Linked DNA regions of Elephas maximus indicus. The protein of the gene in region 2 purifies or fractionates together with the protein of the main gene of each other region. This does not show direct contact. Links are inferred from orthologs where the notes say so. Each region holds a gene or a part of one and is shown on either strand. Other genes may lie near its edges.

Region 1 (8,002 bases), on a different chromosome or scaffold from region 2:
GAATATTGACGGCTAGAACCTATGGGAAGCAGAAGTTGGGGACAGTCAGGAAACGCATACCTGCTCATTCAGGAGTAGGGGCCACATGGCATATGATGATGGGTAGACTCGATGGCACTGTTGGTTACTGGGTTAGAGGGCAGAATCCAGTGAACAGGACCTGAAACCCTGGCTGGGGTGGTGGGCAGGGCTACAGTGGGAGAGGCATATACCCGTAGACCAGCTGCAGAGCGTATGTCCATGATGGTGAGCACTGTCTCCAACAGGACCGCGTTACCCGCATTTCGGCTGGTTTCTGTGTTAGTGGCCACCTGAGTGGATTAAGAGAGGAGATACAACTGCAAAGGGCTCTGTCCTCTCCTCAGGTCTCTTCTGTGTTGTCCGTCCACCCCTCAACCATCCAACAAAGTTCCCTTAGCCCCCTGCTATGTACCAGGGCCAGACTGGACACTGGGCTACAGCACTGAGACAGACTGTGTCCCTCATGGAGTTCACAGTCTTGAGGGTAACAGAGAGGTGATGATATAGGCACTCATGGAGGGTAGTCATGTGAGGGATGCCCACGGCTGGTGGGATCACAGAGCAACACACCTAACCACTGCCCCTTCCCCAGTCCCGGACCTGGGCCAACAAGTCATTCATGGTCTCACTACTGTCTTCGTGGTTCCGGCCCAGAATCCGAAGCAGACGAAGTATCTGGACCTGAGGTTGGGTTAAAGGTTGAAAGATGGAGGAGCTCATAGGGTAAGGAGTCATGGGGCTGAGGAGAAAAATCCAACGTTGAGGAGAGCATCGTGAGGGGTCTGGTTGGCTCCCTAGAGCCTCCTTGCCCCTCCCTTTCAGCTCCACAGGTCCCTGGGGGTCCTGGAAAGGTACCAGAAGTCTGCGACACCTGGGGAGTTTGGGATAGGATTTTTTTATGGCTGTCAAACTGGATCTTCTGACATGGTACTCCCCGCACCTCACCTCCCCCCCTCCCCCCACTGGTGCTGGGATGACCAAGGCAATCCTATGCCTGCCACCTTCCTGCCCAAAACAGTGACTGAGCCTAAGTGTTTTCTGGGAGGTAGGCGCTGGCTGTGGTCTTATTTCTAAGCTCCCTTTGTTCGAGGGATACAGCTCATAAAGGTCAGCCTACCTGCAGGAAGGGGTCACTGACTCCAGATATGCTGTGTTCTGCAGAGTATCCCGATGTCACCAGAGTCTGAAGGATCTCTACCAGCTGGGGTACCACCTGGAGGGAGGGCATAGCCGTGTCTAGGCATTCTTCTTACCCTCTCAACCTCCAGCACCATCCCTCCCCACTGTCCCTCTTTTTCTGGCCCAGTGCCTGCTCTTCAGCAGCCCACCTTTCGAAAGTGCCTGAGGGCTGCAGGGCTTCCTTCGCAGAGCTCTGTGATCAGCGTGATGGTGCCCAGCAGGATGCCTGGGGTCAGGGTGGGGGAAGCAAAGGGTAGGGCAGGGGCAAAGGAAAGTCTACGGCATGTGTATAGGTGTGTGTGCTGCCCTTCTCCTATGAGCTGGTATTCCCGTCACAACCTTCACTTCTTCGGTTCACAGCAAGAGCAGAGGCAGGGGATGGGGAGCCCCGTGGCCTTACCATGGTGGCGCTCTTGAAGTAGTTGGGCACAGGGTGGGAGGAAGATGTTGGACAGCTCAGGGACCTTCCGAATCATGTGCACCGCAGTCAGAACAGCCTGCAGAGGTCAGGGAGCTCAGACAGGGCAGGGGTCCATCAAGTACTATGGCACACCTCTACCACGTGGCAAACCAGGGATGGTTTCTTGAGAGGCAAGTGCCTAGAGTCTGCTGCCTCACCTTCTTGCGCATGTAGGGGCTGGGCTGCAGGAGCAGTTTCTCAACCTCTGTGGCTAGGTCCCGGCACATCTCAGCGGAGCCCACGGTGCTCAGAGTGCACAGGGCCAGACCTTGTACTGGCTGACTCCCCTGGCTCAGGTCACTGCAGGGTTGGGAGGAGGGTCAGTGAAGCCTCTGAAAAAACCAATCCTTCCCAGTACCTATACCAGGCAGCCCCTTGGCATTTCCCAGTTCCCCACTCTCCCATCTCCCTGATTCCAAGTGCTTCCTAGAATCACCCCCAGCCCTCTCACTTCTTGATGCTGTTGGTAATGAGCAGGTGGGCATCCTGCCTCTCATCCAGTAGAAGCATGGCCCCCAGGTAGCCCATTCTCTTGTCTGAGAATCTGGGGGAGGCGATCAGTTTCAGGCACTCCATCTATAGAGAAGGGGTGAAACCAGAGGCACTAACATCCCTGTTCCATCTTCCATCTTAACACCAGATTGACTTGTGGGGCACAATAACCCATCACCCTCCTTTCAACAAGAGGGAGAGGCTTAGGAGATTCAGGCATTTGTAGGTAGTTTCAAGGAACTAGGAGTCCTTGGGATGGGAGAGAAGGTGCCCTGAACGAGACTGGCCAGAGAATGAAGGATTCAGGCCAGCTCACCGCCAATGGGGGCTAGGATGGGGAAGGTTAGCGGTGCATGCTGTGAGAGCTCAGAGACTGCAGAATGACAAACTTGAGGTCAGTGAGGGATTCCGAGACCTGCGCCCCACAAATTCAAGAAGGAGGCGTCCTTGCTCCATACCTGTCCAAAGTGGGCAGGGTAGCCCAACATGTGGACGTAGAGCAGTTTGGCCAGCTGGCGGTGCCTGTGCAGGGGGTCCCCATCCCGAAAGGAGGCGCGGATGTGGGCGCACTCCTTCTGGATCACCTCCCGCTCCTGGGCCTGCGTCTTGGCCCCACGAATCTCCTCGATTAGATCCTGAAGCTTCAGCGAAGGCACCACCATCCTGGGGGGCAGAGCTCGGGAATAGAGAGGGCTTTAACACTCCCTAGCCGAATGTGCCTGCCCTTTCTGCCCAGGCTTGCTCTGTGCCAAGAATCTGAGGGTCCGTGTCCCACTGCTACCCTACAACAGAGCACACATTTACCTTTCCCCACACGGGTCTCCAAATTCCGCCCTCATCGCCCCAGGGAACACCTCACTACACATGCGTTCGGCCCCCGTCCGCCTGCCCCTACTGAGCATGCGCTAGAGCCCCGCCCATTTCTCCCCCCCACACACCTGGTTTCCCATCCCTAGCTCAGCCTGTCCTTTTCTTTCCCGGCCCCGCGCATTTTCTTCCGTGGGATTCCTTCTCCGATTGCCATCTCAGGCAGCCTCAGTTTCCCCACCCCAGGAGCCAGCCCTTTACACCAGCCTCACCTGGCTCCCGTCTCAACTCCACTCCTCTCCCCCCCAGGACTTCCTGGTGCAGGGCCGATCGAGAGGCGGTGCTTCATCTGGCCCGTCCCCCTCCGCACCCCCATCACGCGACCTCGCCCCTCCTGGCCCGCCCTGCTTAAACTTCTGGCTTCGCTGTTTAGGGGAAGTAGGTTTTATTCGCAATGGAGAGGCTGGGGTTCCCCTAGGGGGCACCTCGTACATCATCACCACCCGGAGAGCTTCAGCTTGGGGTTGAAGCCATCGCACCCCAAAGGAGATGACAATCCCCCCCCTTTTTTGAACTTTTTTATTAATATATTTTTTTTGTTAATTTTTTTTTTTTCTGCAAGACTTGATGTTTGCGGCACTGTTGTAGTTTAACTTCAATCCCAAATTCCATGAAATAGAAATCAGAAGTAAAGGTTGAGAAGGTAGGAAGGAGGGAGGCAGGCCAAGGAATAAACAGTTTGACTAGAAAAAAAGAGGGTGTATGTGGTGGGCATTCCCAGGCAAGGCCATTCCTTGAGGGAGGGGATTGGCAGGCAGCTTGCCTCTGCCTCATGCAGGGGAGGGGTCCTACAGTCCCCTTTTCCGAGGGCTTCCTAACCCCCAGGGGGGAAAGCTAGTACCAGGGATCAGGCACAACCTCAAACAGGGCTCTCCACCCACCTCTCACCCCACGTTTGTCTCCTACCTCTGCCCTGCCTGGAAGGTGCGTGAGGGGTCAGCTTCTTTTGATCCCCTCCTTCTGTTGTCTTCCCATTTCACCATATTCCCATGTGAAGGGGGAAGGGACATCACCCATTTTGACAGTGACTAAAAGTGTTGCAGCTTACGCTGCTCTGTGAGTTCCTGTCTGGTTCCATCTCCCAGAAGTGCCTCCCCTCACCACAACTGACAGAGTTGGGGAGTGAGGCCCTTGCTCAAGTGCCTCTAACCCTTTGCAGTAGAAACACCTTCTTTAGGTCCCTTAGGAATTTAATCAAAGGCCACAAGTGAGTCCAGACCATCCAAACTTTTAGGGGGAAACAGAAGGGTGGGAGAGGTCAGTGGCGAAGTTGGGGGGGAGGGGACTTGGTTGCACTGGATTTTTTTTGTTCCTTTTACACTTGCTCTTGCCATGTCACCAGAGGGGGTTGAGGAGGGGTGGGCTTTTGAGGAAAGAAAGGGAGATGTTAGAGAGTCATTCTACTTTTCAATTCCCATATCTCCCTCAGGGAAGGACTGAGTTAGGCAAGAGCCAAGCTCAGTGCTTGAAGCTAAGATCCTCCGAGATCAGAGGTGAAGGCTAACTTCCAGTTTTCATTAGGCCTCAGAGGGACACCTGGCCCCTTGGGTCAGGGAGTGATAGCAGCTCAGCCAGTGCCTTCGCAGCATTCAGTCACCCCTTCTCCACTTTTTTCCTCCTTTCCATTCAGCTTCCAGGAGACTCCTCAGGACACCAAAACCCCACCCTCAGTGAAGTTTAGGTCTAAAGAAAAGGTGAGGAGGGCATGGGGCAATGGTCTGACTTGATTTGTGTGTCTCAGAGAAGAAAGCAACTCTGAGAGAGAAAAGCCCTTCATATGTAAACAATCTAGAGAAAGAGAAGGGGTGGGGATGGGGAAGGGAGTGAGGAAGACAGAGACAGACCCAGAATAAATAAGATAATCTGAAAGGCGAGAGGGATAAAGAAAAAGCAAGAGACAAAAACAAAGGGGAATAGAAAAGGAAAGGGAGAAGAGAAAAAGATAGAAACAACAACCAGGAGGAGGAAAAGAGAAAAAGGCAGGTCCAAGGGTGAAGAGGCAGCCACCAAAGCCAGAAGTAGGCCAGGAAGTAGCCTCAGGTGAGGAGCTGGGAGAACAGGAACGCCAGGCTGAGGTCCAGGAGGGCCACGGCTCCCACCACCAGGAGGCTGGCAGCTCCCTAGAGAGACAGAGAAAGGTAGGCTCAGTCTCTGAGGACCAGGTCAGGCTCTTGGTGCCTCCCTCCTGGGGACAGAGCTGTTCAGCCCAAGGGCCCTGGCTGAGGTGGCAAAGCTGAAGAGTCCCAGGCACCATGATCCCTTCTCCCTTCCCCTCCCTGAAGAGGCCAGAAACAGGGAGGGGCCTCCGACCTTTGTTTCGGATTGCAAAACATCCCTCTTCTCCAGGTCAGGGCCCACCTTCCCTCAGGCACCCACAAGGTAGGGACAGCCCATCCTTCTTCTCTCCTTCCTCCTCCTCTCCACCCACTAGCATGTCACGTGGCCCAGACAGGCTGTGCCTGGCCCTAGTAGCAGACTTTGGCAGCAGCAGCTGTTACTGCAGTAAGGCAGAGAGGGATGAAGGGGTGAGGATGTGGTTGCTAGGAAACAGGAGAAGACCTGGAGTCCAATCAGAGTAGAGGGTTCTGGGGAAACTCCGCCTCTCCCAGTTTTCTGCCTTCTTTCCTATTTCCCTTCTTTCCAGGAGAGGGGGAAGAGTCAGGGTAGGGAGGGAACAATCTTTTCCTTTTTTATTTCTGGGCACCAAAGAGAGAAAGTGCGGGGGTGGGGGTGGAGTAGGAAATTGGGAGCTGGGAATGGTATGGAAGGAGAACAAGGAGAGATGTTCTGGCACTACCAGTAATTATTAGTTTGTAACCTTGGACAAGTTAGTTTCAGTGCTCTGGGCCTCAGTTCCCCCCTCTGTCACTTGAGAGAGTTGGACTTGAAGGTCTCTAAGGTTCTTTCCAGCTTTAAAGTTCTTTTTTTTTTTTTTTTTGAGCTGGGTATATGGTCCAAGACTGGGCAGGGAGAGAGGAAGCTGAGTCCAAATCAGAGCCTGCTGGGGGATCAGACAGGTTTGGAAAGGGCGGGAGGGAAGGCTCTGAGGGAAAGAGGGGCTGGGAAGGAGCTGAGACTCAGAGGGTACAAGTGGGGATGGGGGATGTCTCACCGGCTGGGCAGGCCTCTCGGTGGCACCAGGCTCCTCGAGCTCTTCCGTCAGGCACCCAGCATCAGGACCCCTGGAGGACGTGCCCCTCAGGACTGGAGTGACTGTGAGCCCAGGCTGCGAGCCTCCTGGTGCCCTCAGCTGGGGCAAAGGCTCTTCATCTTCTCCCTCCTCCTCTCGAAGACTTCCTGAACTGTCACTGCAGCCTCCGAGGAGTGGAGAACCGTCTCTGGGCCCTGGCCCCTGCATCCCGGCCTCATCCTCAGCCTCATAACCAGCTAGTTCCTCCACCTGCTCACCTGGGCCCCCCCACTCCTCAGGCCAAGATTTGGGGCTGGAGAAGGGACCCCGGTCTCCTCCAGGAGGCAGTGGGCTCCGGCAGGCAGGGGGTCGCCAGGGTTGGTGAGAGGAGGCCGGACTGCTGGGCAGTTCAGGGGAGCCCTCTGAGGGGGTCAGTCCATTCTCATATACCCCGGGGCTGTCCTCATCCAAGGGCTCTGTGTCGGAACCTTCTGAATCCTGCCTGGGTCTGCGGCCTGGGGCAGGGACAGTTAAGAATCAGAGAGGCCTAACTGGCCTGGACTTTGGTATCCCCAGGCCTATAACCTCTCACTGCTGGCCCCCAGCTCCCCTCCCCCATTCTTATTACCTTTCTTTACAAATTCTCAGTCCCACTTCCCAACAACTGGGCCTGGCACCACTCTCCGTCCCCTCGGACCCTCATACCTTGGTTATTCCCATCCCCAGTCTCCTGCAGGGATTCCCAACCCCCTCCCCCAAACCTGAGCCTGTCCAGCGCCCAGGGGGCTCACCCCCCAGCCCCAGGCTGTCCACACCTCACCTGGGGCTTCTAACATGGGTTGCAGGTCCTGGGCTATCAGTTTGGCCATTCGAGCTGCCTCCACGGCCTTCTCGGCAACACTGCTGGCAGCCACTGCCTTGAGGAGGGCATCTGCTGCCCTGTGGGTCCCAGGGATGGGGATTTAGAAATTTTTTTTACTTCAACTGAGCCCCTGCTCAGGTACTCCAGCCCCGGCCCTGTGTTCCACAACACTGCCTCCTCCCGACCTGAGGTCCCCTCTGGAGTCTTCACCCTTCCTCACACTTGGCCAACTGCTTCCTTCCCCAGCAGGTGAGGGCAGCTCCCCTTCGGTTTCCTGTCCCAGACCTGGGCTGAGCTTAATGCCATCATGCCCTCCCGCTTCTCTCACACCCCTCTGCTGTTAAGTCCTGTAGTAACACCTCCCTCCTTCCAGCTGCAGGGGCCAGGCCCGCCCCCCCCCCCCCGCCCCAGAATGGCTGCCCTCGGCTCCGCTGTCTCACTCCTGTCCTGTTCCCTTCTCAGTGACAACTGAGACCACACTCTCTTAGCACATCCTTCTGCAGCTGCCCTCACTTGGTGCTTCCAAGCTAAGTCTGCCGCCCTCTCTGCTGTGGGTACCTCCTGTTGTCATCGATAATTCTTGCTGCCCCCGCTTTGGACCGCGCACTTCTCTGAGGGCTCCAGGGCATTTTCCTGCCCCTTGTGGTCCTGCCCTCCTAGCAGCCGTGCCCCTCCCCTGCCCCCTTGTTCTGGTCCCCCTCTCCCCTGTGGTAGAAGCCTTTGCTCTCATGATTACCCCTGCCATCCCACCTTATTATTTAATCCTACCTCTTCAAGGGCAGATTTCTTGACAGGAGAATTTTACATCTTGCTTTCTGCAGTCTCTTCTGTTATCCCTTCATTCTCCCCACTCCATCACTGCCACTGTCCCCCCCCACCCCATCTCTTCCTTTTCTGAGTTCTGGAACTGGGGAAAGGGGTCCTTCCTTTCTGCTGTGATCATATCCTCTCTCCCTGCTAAGGTGCCTGCTTTCTCACCACTGCGAGCATA
Region 2 (7,863 bases):
CTGGTTTTACTGCTGATTCCTAGTTTAGATTTTGATCAAAGAATGTTATATGAACAATTTCTGCTATATTGGAGTTTATTGACATTTTCTTTGTGCCTTAATTTATGGCCTCTAATAGGAGCCCTGGTTAAGAGCTCAGCTGCTAACCAAAAGGTCAGCAGTTCAAATCCACCAGACCCTCATTCAGTGACACTGGTCATATTCTTCACAATGCATGAACATTCTCATTATTTCTATCCTGGTTGTCCCGTTTCCATTAATATAGTTTCCCTGTGCCCTTACTTTCTCATCTTTGTTTTAAAGTAATTGCTGGCCGTTTGGTCTCGTACAGGTGATTTTTTAAAGGAGCACAGTACTTACAAATGATATTCATTATCCTGTGAGCCCATCTGTTATTTAGCTACCAGATGACCTCAGGGATTAGTTTATTTTAGGGTTTAAAGAGTATCTAAGGGCAATACTCTTGGGGAGTCCTCAGTCTCTACCAGTCCAGGAGGTCTGTCTTTATTTTTGTTTTTAGGAATTTGAGGTTCTGTTCCACATTTTTCTCCCATTCTACCAGGGCCCATCTATTGTGGCGCTGATTAGAATAGTCAGTAGTAGTAGCCGAGCAAGGTATGTGGGGGCCCTAAACACCGATAATCTGTGGTGCTCCCTCCTCTGCTTACTCAAGCATTAAAATAGGATCTATGAGTTAGTTAGATACATACATACATATATATGCATATATATGTGTGTGTGTTTGTGTGTCTTAGCTATCCATGGTCTAACTTTTTAAATGTGGCTGTAATATTAGTAATTGAATGCAAAAGTGGTACATGTCATTTTAGTGGAATAAGATGAACTGGATTATAAAATTTTTAGTGGATGCAGGGTACAAAGATTTTTACTATATACCACATTTTCTAAAAAAAAAAAAATTACACATATTCTACAAGAAAATGAGTTAGTGAACTCAGTTGTTTCAACAATCAATGTGAAATTCTGTTGATGTCCCACAACAATGAATTCAGGGAACTTTTAGAACATTATAGGATTAAAAAACAGCAAACAAACAGAGAAACTGAAGTAGAGGAATAATAACCACACAGGAAAAAAAATATAGAAATTGTCTGGGATGCTGAAATATATGCACTGGGGCCTATGCAATGAGTTTGGGGTAAAAAACCCGTTCCCGTCGAGTCCGACTCAGAGCGACCCTATAGGACAGTGTAGAACTGTCCCGTAGAGTTTCCAAGGAGCACCTGGTGGATCTGAACTGCCAACCTTTTGGTTAGCAGCCTTAGCTCTTAACCACTATGCCATCAGGGTTTCCAAGTTTGGGGTAAAAAAAAAAAAAAAACTGCCCTCGAGCCGATTCCGACTCATACGGACCCTAAAGGACAGAGTAGAACTACCTCATAGAGTTTCCAAGGAGCGCCTGGTGGATTCCAACTGCCGACTTTTTGGTTAGCAGCTGTAGCTCTTAACCACTGTACCACCAGGGTTTCGAGTTTGAGGTGGAGGCGATTAATTTTACCTGCGCGCCCTCTAGTGGGCATAGGGGGAAATAACAATTTGTCCGACCGATATTTATCAGGCACCCCGTGCGGAGGCGGGTGGGAAGGATGTGCTGTTCTGAGATTTTACTGATGGTCACCCAGTGCCAGCGTCAGGTTCTGGATCATCTCACAGCACCACAAGAACTCCCAAGCTTATTGGGACTGGACGAAACCTTAAGAATCAGGGGAGGGGAGAAGCATGGACCTTGGAATTATCAGCCCTGGTTTGACTCCCAGCTCTGCCCATTGCTGCCGTGTGAAGTTTGGACAGCCCCTTAAATTCTCAGGACCTCCGTAAAATGGGGGTTATCATAGTGCCCACCTCATGAGGCAGTGAGGGCACACGGTGGAGTTTGGCCGATAGTGGGTACAGAGTTCTCAGGAGGAGAAACTGAGGCCCAAAGGGGTGGATGGACAGCCCTGTGCAGTGTCAGCCAGCTTATGAGGGCAGGGTGGAGAATGAGTAGGGCTTGGAGAAATGTTTAAAAATGCCTTCCTCCAAATAGATAAACAAAATGTGGTACATACCTACAATGGAATGACTCAGCCATAGAGAGAAATAAGGCCCTGATACATTCTACAACATGGATGAGTCTTGAAAACATCGTGCTGAGTGAAATAAGTCAGCCACAAAAGAACAAATATTGTATGATTCCACTTATGGAAATATCTAGAATCGGCAAATGTATTAAAAAAAAAAAAACTAGAATCGGCAAATGTATAGCTACCAAAATCTATTTATGGTTACCAGGGGTAGATGGGAGGGAGGGGGAAAGGGAAACTCATTTGCTTAGAGGACACAGGGCTTCTGTTAAGGGTGATACAAAATTCTGGAAACGGATTGTGGTGATGGTCGTACAACTTGATAAACACAATTGATGTCCACTGAATCGTACATGTGAAGAATGATGAAATGGCAAATGTTTTGTTACATATATATTCACACAATTAAAAAAAAAAAAAAAAGGCCCTGTCCTCCATCCAGAAGGCAATGCTATTGTTAGTAATGGTGTTTTTGTGGGGAGAAATTAGCTCACTCCTCCGGATGGGCTTTGTGACCACTGGCTCTACTCTACCCATGCTGGAGCCACTGCCTGAGATGAAGAGGCAGGGCAGCCCAAGTGTGCCCCAGGTGTGGCTCTTTTGGCTGCAGCTATCAAGAGTTTCACCGTTGAGTGTGTGACTCAGTGTTGCCACCTGGGTTTGGGGGGTGAGGGCAGGGAGGGAGTCCCTTCATCTGGATTTCCATTCCCCACATCTGCAAGCTGTAATTATCCAGCCTTTGGCACTGAGCTGTGCACCCTCTTTTTTTACCAGGCTGAGCAGAAACCCTGGTGGCGTAGTGGTTAAGTGTGACAGCTGCTAACCAAAGGGTCAGCAGTTCAAATCCGCCAGGCTTTCCTTGGAAACTCTATGGGGCAGTTCTACTCTGTCCTGTAGGGTCGCTATGAGTTGGAATCGACTCAACGGCACTGGGTTTGCTTTTGGGGTTTACCAGGCTGAGTTGGGGCAACGGAGGCCCAGGCCCATGGGGAAATGGGGGAGAAATTGCTCTGCCCAGAGCCAAGGGCCCCTTGGCCTAAGTTTTCTCATCTTTCTCTGGGGTCAGTCATGGAACTTCAAATTGTTGGGAAAATTCAGTGAGTTAGTATGTGGAAGAGCCTAGCACATTGCCTGCTTGGCGGTAACTGTCGAAAGTAGTCGTATCCACATCGTTCATGGTTCAGCCTGGATATCACCTCCTCCAGGAAGCCTTCCCTGAATTTCTCAAGCTGAGTTTGGTGTCCAAGTTTCCTGTGTATCCTAGTCCTTTCGCTGATCACTCAATGTTATAGTGGCCCCTTTATTTGTCTTTATCCCGCACTCAACAGTGAGCCCCAAGGAGGCATTGTGCTACATCTTGCTCCCTGTTGTATCCCAGTCTGGATGGCTCAGGTAGGAGTGACAAATATAATTTAGGCGAATGAGACTTATGAGGAGAATATGTTTCCTGGAGCTGTAACAGACATATCATAAGTGGGTGGCTTTAACAAACAAATTTATTTTCTCACAGTTTAGGAGGCTAGAAGTTCAAATTCAGGGCACTGGCTCTAAGGGAAGGCCTTCTCTGTTGGCTCTGGGGGAAGGTCCTTGTCTCTTTTCAGCTTCTCTTCCTCAGTACCTTGACAATCTTCATGTGGTGTGGCATCTATCTTCCCCCATCTCTGCATGCTTCTCTGTGCCTAATCTGTTTGTTTAATATCTCAGAGGTGATTCGCTTAAGACACCCTACACTGATATGGTCTCATTAACATAATAAAGAAAACTCTATTCCCAAATGGGATTATATCCACGAGTATACCCAAAACCAAACCCATTGCCGTGGAGTCGATTCTGACTCATTGCGACCCTATAGGACAGAGTAGAACTTCTCCATAGGGTTTCCAGGGAGCACCTGGTGGATCTGAACTGCCAACCTTTTGGTTATTAGCCGGTGCTTTTAACCATTACATCACCAAGGTTTCCATATCCACAAGTATAAGGGTTAGGATTTATAACACGTATTTTGGGGGGACACAATTCAATCCGTAACATCATTTTACACCTTTAGTCAGCCTCAAATTCATTCTTTTAACTTTTAATTTTGAAATGATTATAAACTTAAACTGCAAAAATAGTAGAGTCCCCTATACCCTACACCTTGCTTCCCCCAATGGTTACATCTTATATACCCCTCAAAGTCAAACCCAGGAAATGGAAACTGGGTACAATACTGTTAACTAGACTACAGACCTCATTCAATTTTCAAATCCTTTTTTGAAGCAGACAGGAAACAAGTAGAATATTTTTATATTACATGCCATGCCTCGTGAGGTCCTGGTAGACCCAACGAAAGGGGAAATGGGACTTTATGAAGTTCTCCTTGGATGAGAGTGTCTTGGAGGGTCTGATCTTTCCCCTAGAACGAGGATTCCCTAAGGACTGCCATGAAAGGCAGAGAATGCTGGACTAGATTTACAGTTCTAGTTTTGATTCTTCAATGCAAAAGCTGAGTGACCTCTCTGGACCTCAGTTTTCCCGTCTGGAACCAGAAGAAGGAGAGAGACCTCAAAGTCTCTAGGATCTTTCCCGTCTCCGTCACACCAGCACCACTTCGCAGTCAGCTGGCTCACTTCTCCAGCGCTGTACGGGAGCCGGCAGCTGAGCAAGGCCCTAGCGGCGGTCGGCTCCACCCCCTCCTTTGCCCCGCCCCTCGGGCACCACCCCTGGCCCGGGGAGCACTCTTGGCCCCGCCCCCAGGCCGTGCGTCCACCGGAAGTGTGAGCGCGCGGGCAGCTCACTTCCGCCCGGCAGGTGACAGCCGCGGGGCTGAGAGCGGCCCGCGGTGCGGACACGCCGGGAGAGCGGGAGGAGGAGGAGGCCGCGGACATTTTGCTGCCGTGCCGATCCGAACCGAGCCGAGCCGTGGCGCCGGGAGCCGCTCGGTCTTGCGGGTGAGGAAGCGGAGTGCCGGATGCGGCAGGAGAAGAAGTGGGACGGGGAGCCGGGGGTCTGAGCTGAGGGGTTGGCGGGGTCAGAGGTCACTGAGAGGACAGGGCGACAGTGGGTACGCGAGCGGCCTCCCTGGCTCGGAGGAGGCGGAGGGACTGCAGGCTCATTCATTCGCGCCCCCTTGGCCTCCGACCCGCATCCCAGCTGCCCCAGGCCTGCAGCCCCGCCGCCCGGGAGACGCCCCCAGACTCAGGCCCGAGAAGCCCACGCCTGGCTGAAAGGTAAACTCGTCTTTGGGCTTTGGTTTTCCCGTTCACACTGACCCTCAAGGCCAGCCTGAGGCCTCTTCGTTAAGGGCCTTTTTCTCCATGTCAAGGTTGGAAAAGAAACGACCCTCTGCCGCCGGCACCCGGGGAGTATCTGAGCTCGGTCTGTCCCTTGGCGCCTCCGTGACAAGTTGACTGAAGACACGTATAACAATGCTAAAATGATCATTATTGGTTATCGACCCCTACTGTGTGCCAGGATCTGTGCTAAAATACCACGTTTAAACCTCCATTCAACACTCGTGAGATAGCTACTGTTGCTATTCCCTGTTTACGGATGAGGAAACTGAGGTACAGAGAGGTTAAATCACCCAGGTAGACGGATCAGATAGTGTAGACAGAGCCAAAATTCCTATGCAGGCTTTCAGGGGCCTGCGAAGTGCAGAGGCAGGCTGGAGCAGGGCTGGGGCGTAGGGGCTGCTTAATACTCAGCTGCCACTATATCTGTTTGAATCTATGTTACAACGGTAACAACGTGTAAAGATGTAGCTTTATTGCTTCTCATCTGATCTTCATTTATGCCCCTGCCTTTGATTCATTTTTCTTTAGAATGAAACAGTCCCGCAGACTGTCGCTATACACCTTTCAGGGCAAGAGTGGCAGTCTTTCCTGACTTTTAGGCACTGTGAGACATAAAACACCTTATCTGGGAAACTAATTTCAGAATATCAGGAACCTCTCTTGCAGGTGGTTGAGCTGCATTCCTTTTGGAATAAAGAGAGGAACCACATGACCCCTACAGGATCTTTTGGCCCTAGATTCTAGAAGGATGTATTCAAGGGGAAGGTCTGTGCCTCTTTGAAAAATGTGGAAGCCCCATTCTTCTTGCCTGGGAGATGGTGAGGTGGTTTGGTGGCCGGAGAACTAGGCTCTGTGAGTCTGAGCCTTTATTCCTTTGCAACATCCACCCCCTCTCATTCTGCCTCAGTTTCCCTGACAGCAGCATGAGAAAGACCTGCTGCCTCCTTACCCCTTCGTGGGTGTTACAAGCCTTAGTGAATCTGCTAAGGTTTCCACATGCTTCTGAAGAAAGCTGTGAGGTAAATATTACTGTAGTGCCTTTTTTGTTTGTTTTTTTTAGCCTCCATGATCTGTTCTCCTAATTACCGAATCCACAGAAACTTAATATTGTCATCTTATCCCATTCTTCCAAGGGAGGATTTGAATGAAGTGACTTGTCACAGTTGGTAGGAACATGAGCAGAGCACCAAGCATCTGGTTCCCTGCCCTGAGTTGAGCCGTTTAGAAACTGTCATGAAGAGCAGCTTGACAAGTTATCAAAGAATCAGATCCCTCATAGTTTGTGAGACTTGAGCAAGCCTGAGTGGTTTGAAGGGGCTCAAAGGTACAAGAGAAAGAGCACACCCCGACTTTCCAGTAGTCAGCCCTGGATTCTGACCTCAGTTCGGCAGCTTAATGGTAGCGTGATCTGGACAACTTACTTAGGCTGGGCCTCTTTTACCTCAACTCAAAAATAATACTGAGTCCCCACCCGGCCCCCCGACACAGGTGGTTGTGGGGGTTAAGTGAGGACATTTGTGCAATGCGCCTAGTATAGAGCAAAATGTTATTATCGTGGTGGGTGTCTTGACTTCAGGCCTGTTGATCCTCAGGGGGCTTTTGCCCAAGGAAGGCTGCCAGCTGTGGTTTATGGGGCGTTACTTCCTTCTGCAAACAGAGACCTTTATGTTCAGAGGACTTCTCGGACCCTTCTTGTTTCACTTCCTCAAAGTACTTCAGGACAGGCTCAGTCCGTCAGTCCTGCTGGCTCTGGGCTTGGACTTTAATCTTTTTGTAGTCATCATCTTGTACATCTTGACTGCTCACTTCCCATTCAAAACCCACATCTGGCACAAAAGCCTTGATATGCTACCAGTGAGCAAGCACAACTTGGGTATGGGTTTTGCACTGTAATATATTTCTTAAATCTGAGGGGGCATCTGTTCTTTGAAGATGTTTCCTTTTCCAAACAGGTCTTTTGCCTAAGAAAGGTGGTTGATAAATGCTCACAGCCCAGAAATGATCTTTCTGTTTTCTCTGTCTTCACACAGAGAGCAACAAATACTCCTGAGAGAAAATATCACTCAAGCAGTTGGAGAATCCTTAAAAAAAAAATCCTGCTTGAAAATCCATCAGTGGCTCCTCATTGCCCTCAGGCTAAAACTCAGGCTCCTTAGCATGGCATTCAGGCCTTTCGGGAACTGACCCTTCTTGGCTCTCCTATCCCACATTTCCACATCCTCCCAAGTCAAACTCAGCTGCTTGCTTCTTCTCCAAGTCCCAGCTTTACGCCTCTCTGTCTTTGTGCTGTTCCCTCTGCCTGAACACTCTTTCCTGCCCACCTCCCGCCCTTCTTTACTGGACCACTGTTGGAGCTTCCCATCTGATTATCACCCCACCTTGCAGGCCTGAGCTAGATGGCCCTCCTTAATGTCCTGTGGCTCTGATCATAGCGGATATGATTGTTTACTTGGCTATCTTCCGAGTAAACAGCTCTAATTCCTTAATCCTTGATGAAGACCTGT
Region 3 (7,011 bases), on a different chromosome or scaffold from region 2:
AGAAACTAAAGATGTATATGACTCCACCCACAAGAAGCTTACAATCTAGTCAAAGAGACAAGGCATACTCACATATGCAATCAATGGACATCATGGCATGATAATGAAGTTAACCAGTCAGGGTTCTCAGTTACAAGCAACAGAACCAGCTCTGGAAAACTAGCGAAAAAGGAAATGATTTCCTTTTTTTTCCAGCGAAAAAAGAAATCGGGTAGCTCATGGAAATGCCAGGAGGGCCAGAGTACTAGGTTGGAGGTCTCACACAAGGAACAGTGCCCCGAATCATACCTTCGTCTTCATCCCTACACCTCACTAGACACAGGACACGGCTACTGGCGCCACTCCACTGCGGTCCTAGGGACTCGATGCTCCGACCCTCTGTCACTCTCCTGTCAATTGCCCCATCCCCACCTCATTCTCTCCTGGGCCAAAGTCTGGGAGATGGACAGATGGGCAGAGCCCAGCAGACACGCCCATGCTGTGGCTGCAAAGGAGGCTGTGAAAGTGAGTATCTGAAATTTTCAGATGCTACAGTGGGAGGTTGTTCTATCTCCCTCTGGACTCATAAAGTGGGGATTTCCAAACTCTAGAAACAGGGTTTTTAGAATCTAAAAAAGGTTTAGAATCTAGGAGATGAAAAAGAATGACAAACATCTACCACAGAAAGTATTCAAATGCTCAGGACTGAAAGGAACAGTATATAGGAAGGTATGAGTTCAAACAAACAAACAAAGATCACTGCAAATGAGTTCATCAGGGAACTATGAAAGAATGGACCAAACATAGGTGCAGAGAACATCACAGGAGAGAGAAACACAGATCATAGACTCATAAAGATGGAAGGGCTTCAGAGGCCATCTGGGCCACCTTCCAGCCACCACAGGAACCACCTTATAACCAGATGAGGGAAGGCATGTGGAAGTGTCAGCACGGTCATGGGGAGACAATACAAATTCCATCCCCACCTATAAAGGACAATCTCACCTCTCCCATATTTTTCCGTTCATAAAAATGGCACCACTAATCCTCCAGGCTCGTCTTTGATTCTTCTCCCTTCTTCTCTATTTAGATGAGTTATCAACTTCTGTTGACTGGCCCACTGCAAGTGTCTCTCTAATTTATCCTTCCATTTCCTCTCACGCCTGGATTACCAAAACTGCTCCTATACGGTCTTCCAGCCTTCCATTTGTCCTTTCAAATTGTCCCACATATTACTGTAAGACTGATTTTCCTAAAAGTGTCTTTGCCAAGTTATTCCCCAGCTCAGGTGACTGTAATGACTCCCAACTGCTTACTGCGTCAAGTTTGAACTCATCTGCAGACAAAAGCTATTGGATGAACAAAAGGTATTGAATCTACTAACTTACAGATCCCCTACAATCATCGTGTACTAACAATGAACAAACCTAGTCGTCATCTTCTAACTAGTTTCACCCGCTTGGATTCTATGATTCTACGTGAGCAAAGCCCTTGTTTCTAACAATTTCCCATGAGTCTTTTCTGCAGCTAGGCATACCACATTAAAATGAGGAACTCTAGAAAGCGTTAGCTTTCTAAGGAATGTAGGAGTTTACATCTCTAGAGCTTCCAAATTTGCACAAGCTGTTGCCTAGCTCTCCACTTTGTCTTTACCTCATTTCTCCTTACTTCCTTGTTTGCAACCTCCTCCCCTCTCCCATGAGCACATTTCTTTTTATTTGTTTTGCCTTCTGTCCTGCTTACACATAACGATCTACCCTTTCTAACTCTTACAACTTGTTTTATTAATGTTACTTTTGACCTAATAAATAACACCAAGATACTTCAGCCAACATCTATGCCATTGGCAAGCCTAACGCATCAGCAGAGGAGAAAGGGAAATGAAAAAGAAAGGAAGAAGAAAACACAAAAGAAAGAGGAGTGTCTTACTTATCTATTCCTGCTATAACAGAAATACCGAAAGTGGGTGACTTTAACAAACAGAAATTTATTTTCTCACAATTTAGGAGGCTAGAAGTCCAAATTCAGGGCAGCAGCTCTACAGGAAGGCTTTCTCTCTCTGTTGGTTCTGGGGGAAGGTCCTTGTTCTTTGGTTCCTTGGAGATCTCCCTGTGGTGTGGTATCTATCTTCCCCCAGCTCTGCTTGCTTGCTTGTTTAATTTCTTTTATATCTCAAAAGAGATTGATTTAAGACACACCCTACACTAACACTGTCTCATTAACATAACAAAGAAAACCCATTCCCAAATGGGATTATAACCGCAGGTATAGGGGTTAGAATCACAACACATATTTTGGGGGGACACAATTCAATCCATAACAAGGTGGGAATGGGAAATAATGATAATAGCTACCATTATCAAGTTTACAATATGCTAGATAAAAAAAAACTTTCTATATATTATCTCTAATCATAAGAGCAACCTTGTAAGATAGGCATTGCTACCCTCATTCTTAAAATGAGAGATGGAGGGATACAGATTAAATGGCTCACCTGAGGCTATACATCTAATAAGGGTGAGAGACAAGATTCCATCCCAGATGAATTAGCCCCACCCCATTGTCGCTAGAGCAGAACCGCCATAACAAAGAACCAGAAAAAAAAAATTAAAAAATTAAGTGGAGACATGTAAGGCTTTACCCACAATTACTTCAACTGCTACTAAAACATAATAGTATCATCTGTTGCCAAGAATTATCTAGAAATACCCATTAATTTTTCAGCATGACAAAATTTAAAATGTTCTCCTAGGCTTAAGATAGATAGCTGCTGTTGAGTTGACCCAAACTCATGGCAACCTCACGTACAACTGAACAAAATGCTGCCTGGTCCTTCATCATCCTCATAATTGCCATCATGTTCAAGCCCATCATTGTGGCCATTTCGCCAATCCATCTCACCCACTGTCTCCCTCACCCTTGCTGGCCCGCCACCTCACACACCATGATGTCCTCCTGAAGCAATTGGCCCCTCCCAATAATGTGTCCAAAGCAAGCGAGTCAGATAATGATCTGTTGTGCTCCACAAGGTTTTCATTGGCTAATTTTCAGAAGTAGATTGCCAGGTCTTTCTTCCTAGTGTGTCTCAGTCTGGAAGTTCTGTTGAAACCTCCACCAGGGGCAAGCCTGGTGGTATGTGAAACACCAGTGGCACAGCTTCCAACATCACAGCAATGCACAAGCCACTGCAATTCCAACAAACTGACAGAAAGCAGTGATGCTATCCTTACAGAGCCACCCCTTTTCACCACCACATAAACACACACACACAGACATGCACAGGTGTGCACACTCACATATACACACACATCCTCAGTTAAAAAGCTCATCTTACAATCTGCACCCTACTCATCTTTACACATATGTCTGGTTACGTCTGTCCCTTTTTAGTTTTGATACATGCTAATCTTTTTAAAAAAAAATTTTTTTTATTAAGGTTCCCTTTATTCTCCCCCTTGAGCCTTAATTTCCCTTCATGTTTCTCTCTCTTCCTTATATCTCTTTTAATATGAGCCTCACCTTTTCTCTTTTATCATTCCCCTCATTTCCTCACACTTCTCTTACTTGAAGAGAATGTTGCACCTAGCAGGTTCTCAGTGGATACTAATTTTGAGCTTTATCTTTGTCTTCCTGCCTCCCTGATCATTCCTCTCCCCCTACATCTAGTTCCCACCCTGCTCAGTCTCAATTGCCCACGTTCCTTCCATTAGTTCTCCTTGCTTCCTCACAAATGCCAATGGTCGTCCCATACATTTCTCACGCCTTTTCCCGCCTTTTTCCCCCAAGGTTCTATAGCGCGAGGACTCATTGTCTTCCTCCCACATCCTCTAACCAACCTACAAGACAGCCTTGTTACCATGACGACAGAGCTACTCAAAGCTGAAGTCAAGGACCTGGTTGCCATGGCTCCCGCTTGTCCGCCTCCAGCCCCTCCCGCGCGCCCCGTAGCGTTGGCGCCTGCGCAGTAGGCAACGCGCCGGGCCTCCGAACTTGGGCGGGACAAGGCGGGGCTTCAGCCGAGAGGGAGGGAAGAAGAAGAAAGGATAAGACGGGAATAGAGCTGGCGCCTACGGTGGCCGAAGAGGGACGCGCCGAGCCGGAGGCTGCAGGATGGTAGGCTGTGCGAAAAGGGAGGGGAGGGGGGAACTGAGGGGCGTGGGCTGCACCTGAGGGGGTCCTTGGGGGCCGCCCTCTGTGCGAGTCGTTCTTTCTTCACTGTCGTCCTCAGAGACCCTCCTGTATCTGGGCGGGTGGGCGAGGCGGCCTCCGAAGGAATTCCTGGGAATGGCATTCGAGAGGAGTGGGGAGGAGGCGCATTTGCTGGGCGAGAGGGGGCTGATGTGGGGACGGCGGCACCGGCGAGACCGGACTGAGCCAGGAGTGGCCGGGTCTCGGTCCGAGGGGTGCCGACCCCTGCCGCCGGGAAGTCGCCCGATGTACAGGGGCGCGGGGGTCTGCTCGTGGAGGGAGGGAGGAAGGGACTGGGGGCCGCCGGTCGTCAAGACCCTCTGTTCTCGAGCAGCCCAGAGAGGAGCGGCGGCCGGTGGGGGAGAGCGGGTGTGGGAGGGAGAGTTTCCGGGTCCGAGGAGGGGACGTCCTGCCTCGCTGTATCGCCATGCTCGCCTGGGGGCAGCGGTGAGGCGGGGAAGCGAAGGGGGCTGGAGCTTTGGCTCTCAGGGACCCAGGCTCTGAGCTCCTGGGCGCCGCTGCTTTTCGCTCTCCGCCCCCCTTCCCATTCTTTTTCCGGAACCCAGGCCTTCCGTCTTCCTGCTCGCCCCACCGCCCCCATCATAGACGCGCCCCGCTCCCTGGCGCCCCTCTCTTCTCCTCCTGCCACAGTAACAGTACTTCCTCTTCCCTACCCCCGAAAAGCCTAGTTCTCGCCTGGCCTTGAATTCAGATTTCTAGCCCACTGTGCCATACGCTAAGGAGCCCTGGTCGCTCAGTGGTTAAGTGTTCCGCTGCTAACCGAAAGGTCGGCGGTTCGAACCCACCAGCTGCTCCGTGGGAGAAAAATGTGGCAGTCTGCTTCGGTGAAGATTTACAGCCTTGGAAACCCTACGGGGCAGTTCTACTCTGTCCTATCAGGGTCGCTCTGAGTCGGAATCAACTCAACGGCAGTGGGTTTCGTTTGGTTTGGTGCCATACACCCAGGGATTCCAGACCTGGTATTGTCCACAGAGAGGAGAGCTGCTGGGAGGAGGAGATGAATCTGGAGCTAGGAAGCTGGAGGTGCACTGGTAGTGAGGGCTCTGCTCTCCTCTGCAGTCCACCCAGCTTGCTCTGTGCGCCACAAACATTCCCAGGTAGCTGTGTCCTCACTCAGGGACCCAAAGAGAGGTTAGTCATCCGGGGTCTGAGAAGTGGGCGCTTAGCAGAAGACAGCCCTAAAAGGCAGAGATGCTAAGAAATCAGAGGCCAAATATCTGGATGACTGCAGAGAGAAGAGGGTGGAATTTGGGATCCCAATACTATGTGCCAGGAGAAGGATAGGACTGGCACCAGAGGGCAGGGTGTTTGGGACATCAGAGAGGACTCATGGTTAGGATGGGGTGGAGAGTAGAGGTAGCTTGTTGAGGGGCAAAATATCCAATTTCATGGTGGTGATGGACAGAAAGAACTTGGAAGAGACCAACCATCTCTTTAGCATCTCTTTAGGGGCTTCTTGTCATGATGCTGGGCATTTTACTTATCTTTAGGAAACAGGAGGTCAGGAGATAATAATTATAGTACTTAACACATTACAATGCTTACCATGTGCCATGCACTGTCGCTAATACCAACTCATTTAATCCTTCCTAAAAATTTTGTAAGGTGGGCACTTTATGATCTCCATCTTACAGATAAGGAAATAGAGGCCCAGAGTCATAAAGGAATTTACCCAACACCATACCCAACTCGTAGGGTCTGGACTTGAGCCCAAATGACAGGCTGAGAAGCTCTGACTTCCCCCAGAAGGACAGGTACCACGTGGTGTGAATACCCAGCATTGACAGCAAAGGGCTGGAATTTTTAAGAAAGCAGGAGCTGGAGTGGAGAAGAGTTAGACGGGATGAGTTTGGGACTGTGTGTTTGTGGAGGGAAGAAGCTCAGAGGAGCAAACCTCTGACCCTCAGCTCTGCTCCCCCTACCCCCCCCCCCCAGATGCGATTTATGCTGCTGTTCAGCCGGCAGGGGAAGCTGCGGCTGCAAAAATGGTACCTGGCCACATCCGACAAGGAGCGAAAGAAGATGGTTCGGGAGCTTATGCAGGTTGTGCTGGCTCGAAAGCCCAAGATGTGCAGCTTCCTGGAGTGGAGGGACCTCAAAGTCGTCTATAAGAGGTGACACATCACCTACTGTCAAAACTGCCTGGATCCTGTTCGATTAGAGTTTGGCAATGGGTTAAAGAGAGGGGATACTGGTAAACAAAGGGCCCCTTATGTCAGGGAGAACTGGGAGCTAAGAACATATCTGGACGTCACTGATTAACCCCAGCTTTCCTTCCTGCCAAACTCCTCTTGAAGAAACTCTTGTTCTCCACTTGATTTTGGTCAAGCACATACCTCTGTCCCTAGAGGCTCCATTTGGTCCACTGTGTGTATCCCTTGTAGTCTCAACAGTCATAGATCCTGCCCCACTTTCCCAACACACGCAGACACATGTACCTTATCCAGTTCCTTCTTTAAGCAGGTGAATTAGTTGGCTAATTTTTTGCTGAGTCAAACAACAGGTCAGAGGGCAAGAAAGAAAAAGTGTGTGTCTTTGCGTATGTGTGTGAGAGAGCACCAGGAGGCAGAGTGAGTTACCCTGTCTGTGTCTAGTGGAGGCACAGACTGGGCTGGGAATGAGGAGAAACAGGGGGTTTAAGCTCAGAGTGCCTGGGTCCTGAACCCAAAAAAGGGTCCTGAAGCAGCCTTCAATTCAGCAGCTATGGCTCATGTACCCCTCTCTCCAGATATGCCAGCCTCTACTTCTGCTGCGCCATCGAGGGCCAGGACAACGAGCTCATCACGCTGGAGCTGATCCACCGATACGTGGAACTCCTGGACA
Region 4 (7,739 bases), on a different chromosome or scaffold from region 2:
CACAATTTTTCTGTAAACTTAAAACTGGGTTAAATACTAAAGTTTATTAAAAAAAGAAAAAGAAATCAAATGATGTATTGAATTGGGCAAATCTGCTGCAAGAGACCTTTTTAAAGTGTAAAGCAAAAATGTCACTTTGAGGACTACGGTGTGCCTGACCCAAGCCATGATATTTTCAATCACTTCGTATGCGTGAGAAAGCTGGACAATAAATAAGGAAGACTGAAGAATTGATGTCTTTGAATTATGGTGTTGGTGAAGAATATTGAATATACCATGGGCTGTCAGAAGAACTATCTATCAGACAATCTTCCGCAGCTATTTATAAGGTTTTCACTGGCTAATGCTTTTCAGAAGTAGACTGCCAGGTCCTTCTTCCTAGTCTTAGCCTGGAAGCTCAGCTAAAACCTGTCCTTCATGGGTGACCCTGCTGGTATCTGAATACCAGTGGCATAGCTCCCAGCATCACAGCAATGTGCAAACCCCCACAGTACAACAAACTGACAGACAAGTGGGGTCAGATGGATCCTGGCTGAAATCAGAGAATACCAGAAGGATGTTTACCTGTGTTTTATCGACTACGCAAAGGCATTCGACTGTGTGGATCATAACGAATTATGGATAATCTTGCCAAGAATGGGAATTCCAGATCACTTAATTGTGCTCATGAGGAACCTGTACATAGATCAAGAGGCAGTTGTTCAGACAGAACAGGGGGATACTGAGTGGTTTAAAGTCAGGAAAGGTGTGTGTCAGGGTTGTATCCTTTCACCATACCTATCCAATCTGTATGCTCGGCAAATAATCCAAGAAGCTGGACTATATGAAGAAGAACGGGGCATCAGGATTGGAGTAAGACTCATTAATAACCTGCAATATGCAGATGACACAACCTTGCTTGCTGAAAGTGAAGAGGACTTGAAGCACTTACTAATGAAGATCAGAGACTACAGCCTTCAGTATGGATTACACCTCAACATAAAGAAAACAAAAATCCTCACAACTGGACCAATGAGCAACATCATGATAAACGGAGTAAAGATTGAAGTTGTCAAGGATTTCCTTTTACTTGGATCCACAAGCAACAGCCATGCAAGCAGCAGTCAAGAAATCAAACGACATGTTGCATTGGGTAAACCTGCTGCAAAGACCTTTTTAAAGTGTTGAAGAACAAAGATGTCACCTTGAAGACTAAGGTGCACCTGACCCAAGCCATAGTATTTTCAATCATATCATATGCATGTGAAAGCTGGACAATGAATAAGGAAGACTGAAGAAGAATTGACGCCTTTGAATTGTGGTGCTGGTGAAGAATATTGAATATACCATGGACTGCCAAAAGAATGAACAAATCTGTCTTGGAAGAAATGCAACCAGAATGCCCCTTAGAAGCAAGAATGGCGAGACTGCATCTTCTATACTTTGGACATGTTGTCAGGAGGGATCAGTCCCTGGAGAAGGACATCATGCTTGGCAGAGTACAGGGTCAGAGGAACAGAGGAAGACCCTCTATGAGGTGGATTGACACAGTGGCTGCAACAATGAGCTCAGGCATAACAACGATTGTAAGGATGGCTCAGGACAGGGCAGTGTTTCATTCTATTGTGCATAGGGTTGCTATGCACAATAGAATGAAACGGAACCGACTGGACAGCACCTAACAACAAGCCAGAAGAACGAACAAATATCTGTCTTGGAAGAAGTACAGCCAGAGTGCTCCTTCACATACTTTGAACATGTTATCAGGAGGGACCAGTCCCTGGAGAAGGACATCATGCTTGGTAAAGTAGAGGGTCAGCAAAACAGAGGAAGACCCCCCATGAGATGAATTGACATAGTGGCTGCAAACAATAGGCTCAAACATAGCAACAACTGTGAGGATGGTGCAGGTCTGGGCAGTGTTTCATTCTGTTGTACATGGGGTCACTGTGAGTCAGAACCATCTCGACAGCACCTCACAACAACTACCACGTTATTTAGTTCTCACCACAAACCCTGTGATGGAGGTGTTGCCATCATCTCCATTTTATAGATGCGGAAGCTGAGGCTATGAAAGAGTCTATGGAACCATGTCCATAGTAAGCAGGGAAACTGGGAATCGAAACAAGGCGGCCTGGCTCCAGAATTCTTGCTCTCACCCCGGGCTTCATATGCACCAGAGTGGTAAGGTAGGGCTTATGAAAAACGGAGAGGGGAAGGGGAAAGGGAGGGGAGAGGAGGGGAGGGGAGGGGAGGGAAGATTCTATCCATGCACCTCTTAGAGTTCATGTCTGTCTGCCCTGCCAGCAGTAAGCCAGCAATAATAATAGTACTTAGGCTGTTGAGTCAAGTGGTTAGAACAGAGAGGGCACACAGCAAGTCTCTAAATAGCTTTCACTATTAATATTATCAGTATTATTTTCACACCACCATTGTTACTGCTGCTATTGCTGAATGACAAGGTGGATAAGGGAGCTTCAGGAAAGGACAAAGCAGCTCTAAAGGGGAATTAGGGCCTTCTGCAGCCTTCCCCGGGTATTAATTTTGTGGAAGATGACAGTGATGGAAATATAAACTTCAATTTATTGAACGCCTAATGTTTGCATCGGGGCTAATGTGCTAAGCGCTTTACACACTTTGAATTTTATGAGTTCTGACTGGGTGGGGACCTTAGTTACCCCCATTTTTAAGGCAGGAGAAATTAAGAACCCGAGGGGCAAAGCCCGTTGTCCCAGGCACACGGCCAGTAAATGGTGGAGGTAGAATTCAACCCGGACACACGGGAATTAGAGTGGAGGGGGGCGTAGGTTTCCACGCCCCAAGAGCTTTCTGGAGTCTTGCTAGCTTGCGCGGATGTGCCGCCCCTAGGTTGGGGGGAGCTTAGCCTCACCGGTCTGGCCCCCTACACCTGCGCTTAGCCTCACCTTGCCCTTGACGTCGAGGATGAAGACGGCCGAGGCGGACATAGTGGCAGCCGGTGGATCTGAGAGGCGAAGAGGGAGAGCCAGAAGGTAAAGACAGCACCGCTTCCTTCTTCCTGCGGAAGCGCCCACGCCCAGGTGAGCGCCCAGGTGAGCCCTCTTAAAGGGGAGGCCGCCGCCAGGTGAGCGGCGCGGTCGGCAGACGCGACAGCTATTGAGAGGGCTGGAAGGGGGCGGTCCTTCGGTTGAGACAGAGGCCCCGGCTCACTTTCTCTTTGCACCTGTGAGTGCTGGTGGGCAAAGACAGCGGACCAACCGACCGCCTGTCTGTCAGTCGGTCCCTCCATTCATTCATTCATTCTCCTCTGTCTCTACCATAAGTACACAAGCCCCAATAGGGCCGGGGCTTTGTCCTGTTCCTGCCTGTGTCTTCTGCGCCCAGTAAAAGACCTGGTAAAAAGGTACACAGTATAAAAAAAAAAAAAAAAATTTTTGTAGGTGTTGAATATTTGTTGAATTCATTCATTCATACAATAAATATTTACTAATTAGTTTATTCTGTCACTCAAATATTTACTCACTAATAAATTCTTTCACTCAGTGACTGGAACCTTGGGAAGGATTCTGAGCAAGACAAATGTAGCTGCTTTTAGTGTTTTCCTAACGTAACTCTTGTCCATTTGTTCAAAATTATTTATTAAGCCCTGGTAAGGCCGTGGTTAAAGCACTTGGCTTTTAACCCAAAGATGCTTCAAACAAACCAGCCACTCCACGAGAAAAATATGTGGCAGTCTGCTTCTGTAAAGATTACAGCCTTGGAAACCCTAAACCCCTATGGGGCAGTTCTACTCTGTCCTACAGTGTCACTATGAGTTGGAAAGTTGGGATTGACTCAGTGGCAATGGGTTAATGGGTTTGTGACACTAAAAGAGCCCTGGTGGTGCAATGGTTAAGCTAGGCTGCTAACTGAAATGTCAGAACCCACCAGCGGCTTCGAAGGAGAAAAGACCTGGTGACCTGCTCCCATAAAGATTAGAAAACTCCATGTGGCAGTTCTACTCTGTCACATGGAATTGCTATAAGTCAGAATCGACTCAATGGCACACAAGAAAAATGTGACACTAAGATGTAGATAGAATATGGAAAGGATAAATGATAGTTATTATTATGGCTACAACTCCCAGGGTAGCACAAAGGGTTTGCACTCGGCTGCTAACCTAGAGGTTGGTGATTTGAACCCACTCAGTGGAGCCATGGAAAAAAGCCCTGTCAACCTGCTTCAAAAGAGATTACAGCCAAAAGTACCCTCTGGAGCAGTTCTGTAACAGATGGAGTCACCACGAGTCAGAATCAACAGGACAGCAACCTGTTTTATTATGACTGTAATTATTATGTCATAATATTATTCCAGCATATCCTTACTGACCACCTACTGTGTGCTAAACTGGGCATCTGGAAGGGGTTTCGTTATGGTGATGATGGTCATGTTGATGGTGATCCAATCAGCTAATGAATATTTATTGAGCACCCGCTGTGCTCTTGTGGATTGTGATGTAGACAAGGCTGGTACCCCGGTTCTAGGGAGGGTGAGAGACACACAATTAAAAAAAAAAAAAAAAAAGATGATTCCTGATGAGGATGAGACCTTTGAAGACAAGGGTACTAGGGGGCAGGGCTGACAGAGAGTGAATAGGGGCTATAAGTCAGGAAGATCAGAGCTGACATTTGACAGAGGTCTTCGAGGCCCTGTAAATAGTAACACTGTAAGACAACATTATTGCCAGCCCTTCACTGTGTCCCTGAATTTCCACCACAACTTTATGAGCAGGGATGATCCAAGCGATTGAGCCCAGTGCAGAGTTGGGCACACAGCAGTTACTAGTATTGGTTTTGCTGTTGTTTATTGTTACACGTGTACCAGAGAAGCTCATGGACTCCAGATCCAGCTGCCCGAGCTCAGGTTCTGGCTCTGCAACTGGCCAGCTGTGTGGCCTCTGGTACCTGGCCTCCCTCCCAAGGTCTCAGTCTTCACATCTGTGAAAAGGATTCATAACTGCACTTTTCTTGTTGGGTTATCATGCACACAACAGCATGAGTTATTATATGCAACATGGTGCATGGAACATGCTTGATCATGACAGCTATAATGATGATAATTATGACAACAATGAGGATTGTGGTGGTTAAGAGAACAAGTGCGGGGTTTGAATCCTGACTCCACCACACATTGCCTGAGTCATCAGGTTTGAGAGCCCCTTGGTGATCTGGTGTATAACAGAATGAAATGTTGCCCAGTCCTGTGCCATCTTCATGATCATTGTGTTTGAGCCCGTCCCTGCTGCTGTTGTCAGTCCATCTCACTGAGGATTTCCTTCATTTTGCTGACCCTCAATGGCAACAGGTTTGGTTTCTCTACCAACCATGATTTCCTTTTCTAACAATTGTGTCCAAAGTAAGCTAGCCAAAGTCTCTCTGTCCTTGCTTCTAAGGATCATTCTGGTAGTATTTCTTCTAAGACTGATTTGTTCATTCTTCTGGCAGTCCACAGTGTATCCAATATATAGTGCTCATTATAGCGAAACTTTGTCTCACATACTTTAGACAAATTATCAGGAGGGATCAGTCCCTGGAGAAGGACATCATGTATGGTAAAGTAGAGGGTCAGCGAAGAAGAGGAAGACCTTCAACAAGATGGATTGACACAATAGTTGCAACAATGGGTTCAAACTTAACAATGATAGTGAGGATGGTGCAAGACCTGGCAGTGTTTCATTCTATTGTACATTGGATCACTATGAGTCAGAACCGACTTGACAGCACCTAACAACATATGCAGGCATATGCACTACCCTAAATATCTGGTGTGTGGGAATCCTTGAGACAACTCTTTAATTTAGGGAACACTATTATCTCCACAGAGCCCTGGTGGCACAGTGGTTAAGAGCTCAGCTGCTAACCAAAAGGTTGGCAGTTCAAATCTACCAGCCACTCCTTGGGAGCATTATGGGGCAGTTCTACTCTGTCCTATAGGATTGCTATGAGTTGGAATTGACTCAACAGCAGTGGGTTTTTTTTGGTTTATTATGTTCATATGACAGATGGAGAAACTGAGGCTCAGAGAAGGTGAGTGACTTGCACAAGATCACCCAGCTAGTAGTGACCAAACTGGGATTCGAGCCCTGCAAAGCCCAGGAATTCATACTGCCTCTGCCCAAAGGAGGGAGGGCCTTCCATGCTCTTACCCACTCCCTGCTCAGGAGGTGGTCTGGGGCGATACAGGCTCTCACTCCAACTCAGGCACCCCGGAGCCTCACAAGGATTCCCCTCCTAGGGCCCTTAGTGAGATGTTTTCAGGTAGTAAATAGAACTCAAAAGCCAGGGCCTAGTGCACTGGAATCTGAAACTCAATGCCTGTTTGGCTGAAAAATTCATGAACCCAAAAGCTGCAGTGGGGTCAGAGAACAGAGCAGCTCTGTCTGGCTGGCCCTGCCCAGCCTGGCCTATTTGGTGGCAACCACGCCCATCCCAGCTTCTAGACACTTGCAGCCTGCACCAGGCTTCTTTCAGCTACCCTGCCACTAGGAACCCCTTTCAATCCCTTTTTTATGTCACTAAAGGAACCTCTGAAATACAACTACTATGGTCTCACCCACTCTCACATCCCCCGTGGCTCCCCATTGCCCTCAGACATTGCCCCCAGTTGACCTCTGCCGCAGGGCACCCTGAACCGCTGCCCCAGACAACTGACTTCCATAATTTCAGTTCCCCTCTTTGCCTTTCTCTTTCCTCCGGCACCTGAGCCCTCTCTGCAGAACGCCTGCCCCTCTTTGCTCTTACCACTTGGTTCTATTCTCATTCAGCTCTCAGGCCTTCTCCTTTGGGAAGCCCTCTCTGTCTTACACTCCGTGTCTCCATCACGTTCTTCCTCTGTGCTTTCCCAGTGCCCGCTGCTCCCCCCATCACAGCTGTGTGATACCATACTTATATAAAGTTAACTCTTACTGAGGTGAAATTCACATAGCATAAAATTAACCAATTCCAGTGACAGTGGCACTTAGTACATTCACACCGTTGTACAACCACCATCTCTATCTAATTCTAAAATATTTTCATCACCCCAAAGGAAAACCCCTACCCATTAAGCATTTGTTCCCTGCTCCTTCTCCCCCTATCTCCCAGCCACCACAGAGAGGGCCCTGAAGAATACAAGGTGGATTCTGCCTGCAAAGAACGCTGGGAGAGAACCAGAGTACCTTACTGAGCAGTGATCCAGGCCAGGAAAAAATACGGCAAATGACTGACTTCATGGTCATGTCAATTGGAAGCCGTTAATTAGTACAAAAACAACCTCATTCATCATACGGTAGAGAAGTTTTTTTCCCCTGGGTCCCTTGCACACATCTTTGCATGTAAGCGCTAAGTATATAAACTCCCAGCCTGCACTGCTGAGCGTGGTTCTCTACCCAGGTGACACTCCACGCTTCGCTAACTGTGGAGAGAATCCTGGCGTCAAACCCTGTAAGTTCTCTAATACAGCTAGATCTGAACAACCTGGCATTTTCCACCTCTTTTTTTGGAAGCCAACCTGTGCCCCTCAGAGCTGCTTCTGCCACTGGCACAGTGGGATTTCACAACCACTAATATGATTTCTGCCTTCAAGGATTTACCTATTCTGAATTGTACGTAAAACTTAAATCATACAATATGTAACCTTTTATGTCTGGCTTTGTTCACTTAGCATAATGCTTTTAAGATTTATCCACCTTGCAGTAGGCATCAGGACTTCATTTTTATGGGCTGAGAAATATTTCGCTCTATGGCTGTACCACAACTTGTTTT

What was found.
Region 1: the proteins of AP1B1 (region 2) and AP1G2 fractionate together in Homo sapiens (co-fractionation; 3 studies listed by BioGRID and IntAct, with this or other methods). This does not show direct contact. The link is inferred for Elephas maximus indicus from reciprocal best matches to the Homo sapiens genes AP1B1 and AP1G2.
Region 3: the proteins of AP1B1 (region 2) and AP1S1 fractionate together in Homo sapiens (co-fractionation; 6 studies listed by BioGRID and IntAct, with this or other methods). This does not show direct contact. The link is inferred for Elephas maximus indicus from reciprocal best matches to the Homo sapiens genes AP1B1 and AP1S1.
Region 4: the proteins of AP1B1 (region 2) and AP1M2 purify together in Homo sapiens (affinity purification with mass spectrometry; 3 studies listed by BioGRID and IntAct, counting the BioPlex papers as one, with this or other methods). This does not show direct contact. The link is inferred for Elephas maximus indicus from reciprocal best matches to the Homo sapiens genes AP1B1 and AP1M2.

Annotation. Positions count from the first base shown.
Region 1 is NC_064828.1:34,906,638-34,914,639, forward strand, and holds the start of AP1G2 (AP-1 complex subunit gamma-like 2), read right to left. Parts: upstream 3,010-8,002; 5' UTR 2,992-3,009; coding exon 2,957-2,991; intron 2,816-2,956; coding exon 2,611-2,815; intron 2,237-2,610; coding exon 2,112-2,236; intron 1,961-2,111; coding exon 1,819-1,960; intron 1,698-1,818; coding exon 1,601-1,697; intron 1,427-1,600; coding exon 1,350-1,426; intron 1,235-1,349; coding exon 1,139-1,234; intron 703-1,138; coding exon 622-702; intron 312-621; coding exon 213-311; intron 20-212; coding exon 1-19. Other genes in the region: JPH4 (junctophilin-4), read right to left, coding at 5,056-5,139, 6,132-6,664, 6,970-7,088.
Region 2 is NC_064840.1:27,187,207-27,195,069, forward strand, and holds the start of AP1B1 (AP-1 complex subunit beta-1), read left to right. Parts: upstream 1-4,862; 5' UTR 4,863-5,014; intron 5,015-5,216; exon of another isoform or gene 5,217-5,293; intron 5,294-7,863. UniProt on the Homo sapiens protein: Subunit of clathrin-associated adaptor protein complex 1 that plays a role in protein sorting in the late-Golgi/trans-Golgi network (TGN) and/or endosomes.
Region 3 is NC_064830.1:92,570,996-92,578,006, forward strand, and holds the start of AP1S1 (AP-1 complex subunit sigma-1A), read left to right. Parts: upstream 1-4,004; 5' UTR 4,005-4,089; coding exon 4,090-4,092; intron 4,093-6,123; coding exon 6,124-6,302; intron 6,303-6,916; coding exon 6,917-7,011. UniProt on the Homo sapiens protein: Subunit of clathrin-associated adaptor protein complex 1 that plays a role in protein sorting in the late-Golgi/trans-Golgi network (TGN) and/or endosomes.
Region 4 is NC_064821.1:28,633,417-28,641,155, forward strand, and holds the start of AP1M2 (AP-1 complex subunit mu-2), read right to left. Parts: upstream 3,014-7,739; 5' UTR 2,946-3,013; coding exon 2,904-2,945; intron 1-2,903. UniProt on the Homo sapiens protein: Subunit of clathrin-associated adaptor protein complex 1 that plays a role in protein sorting in the trans-Golgi network (TGN) and endosomes.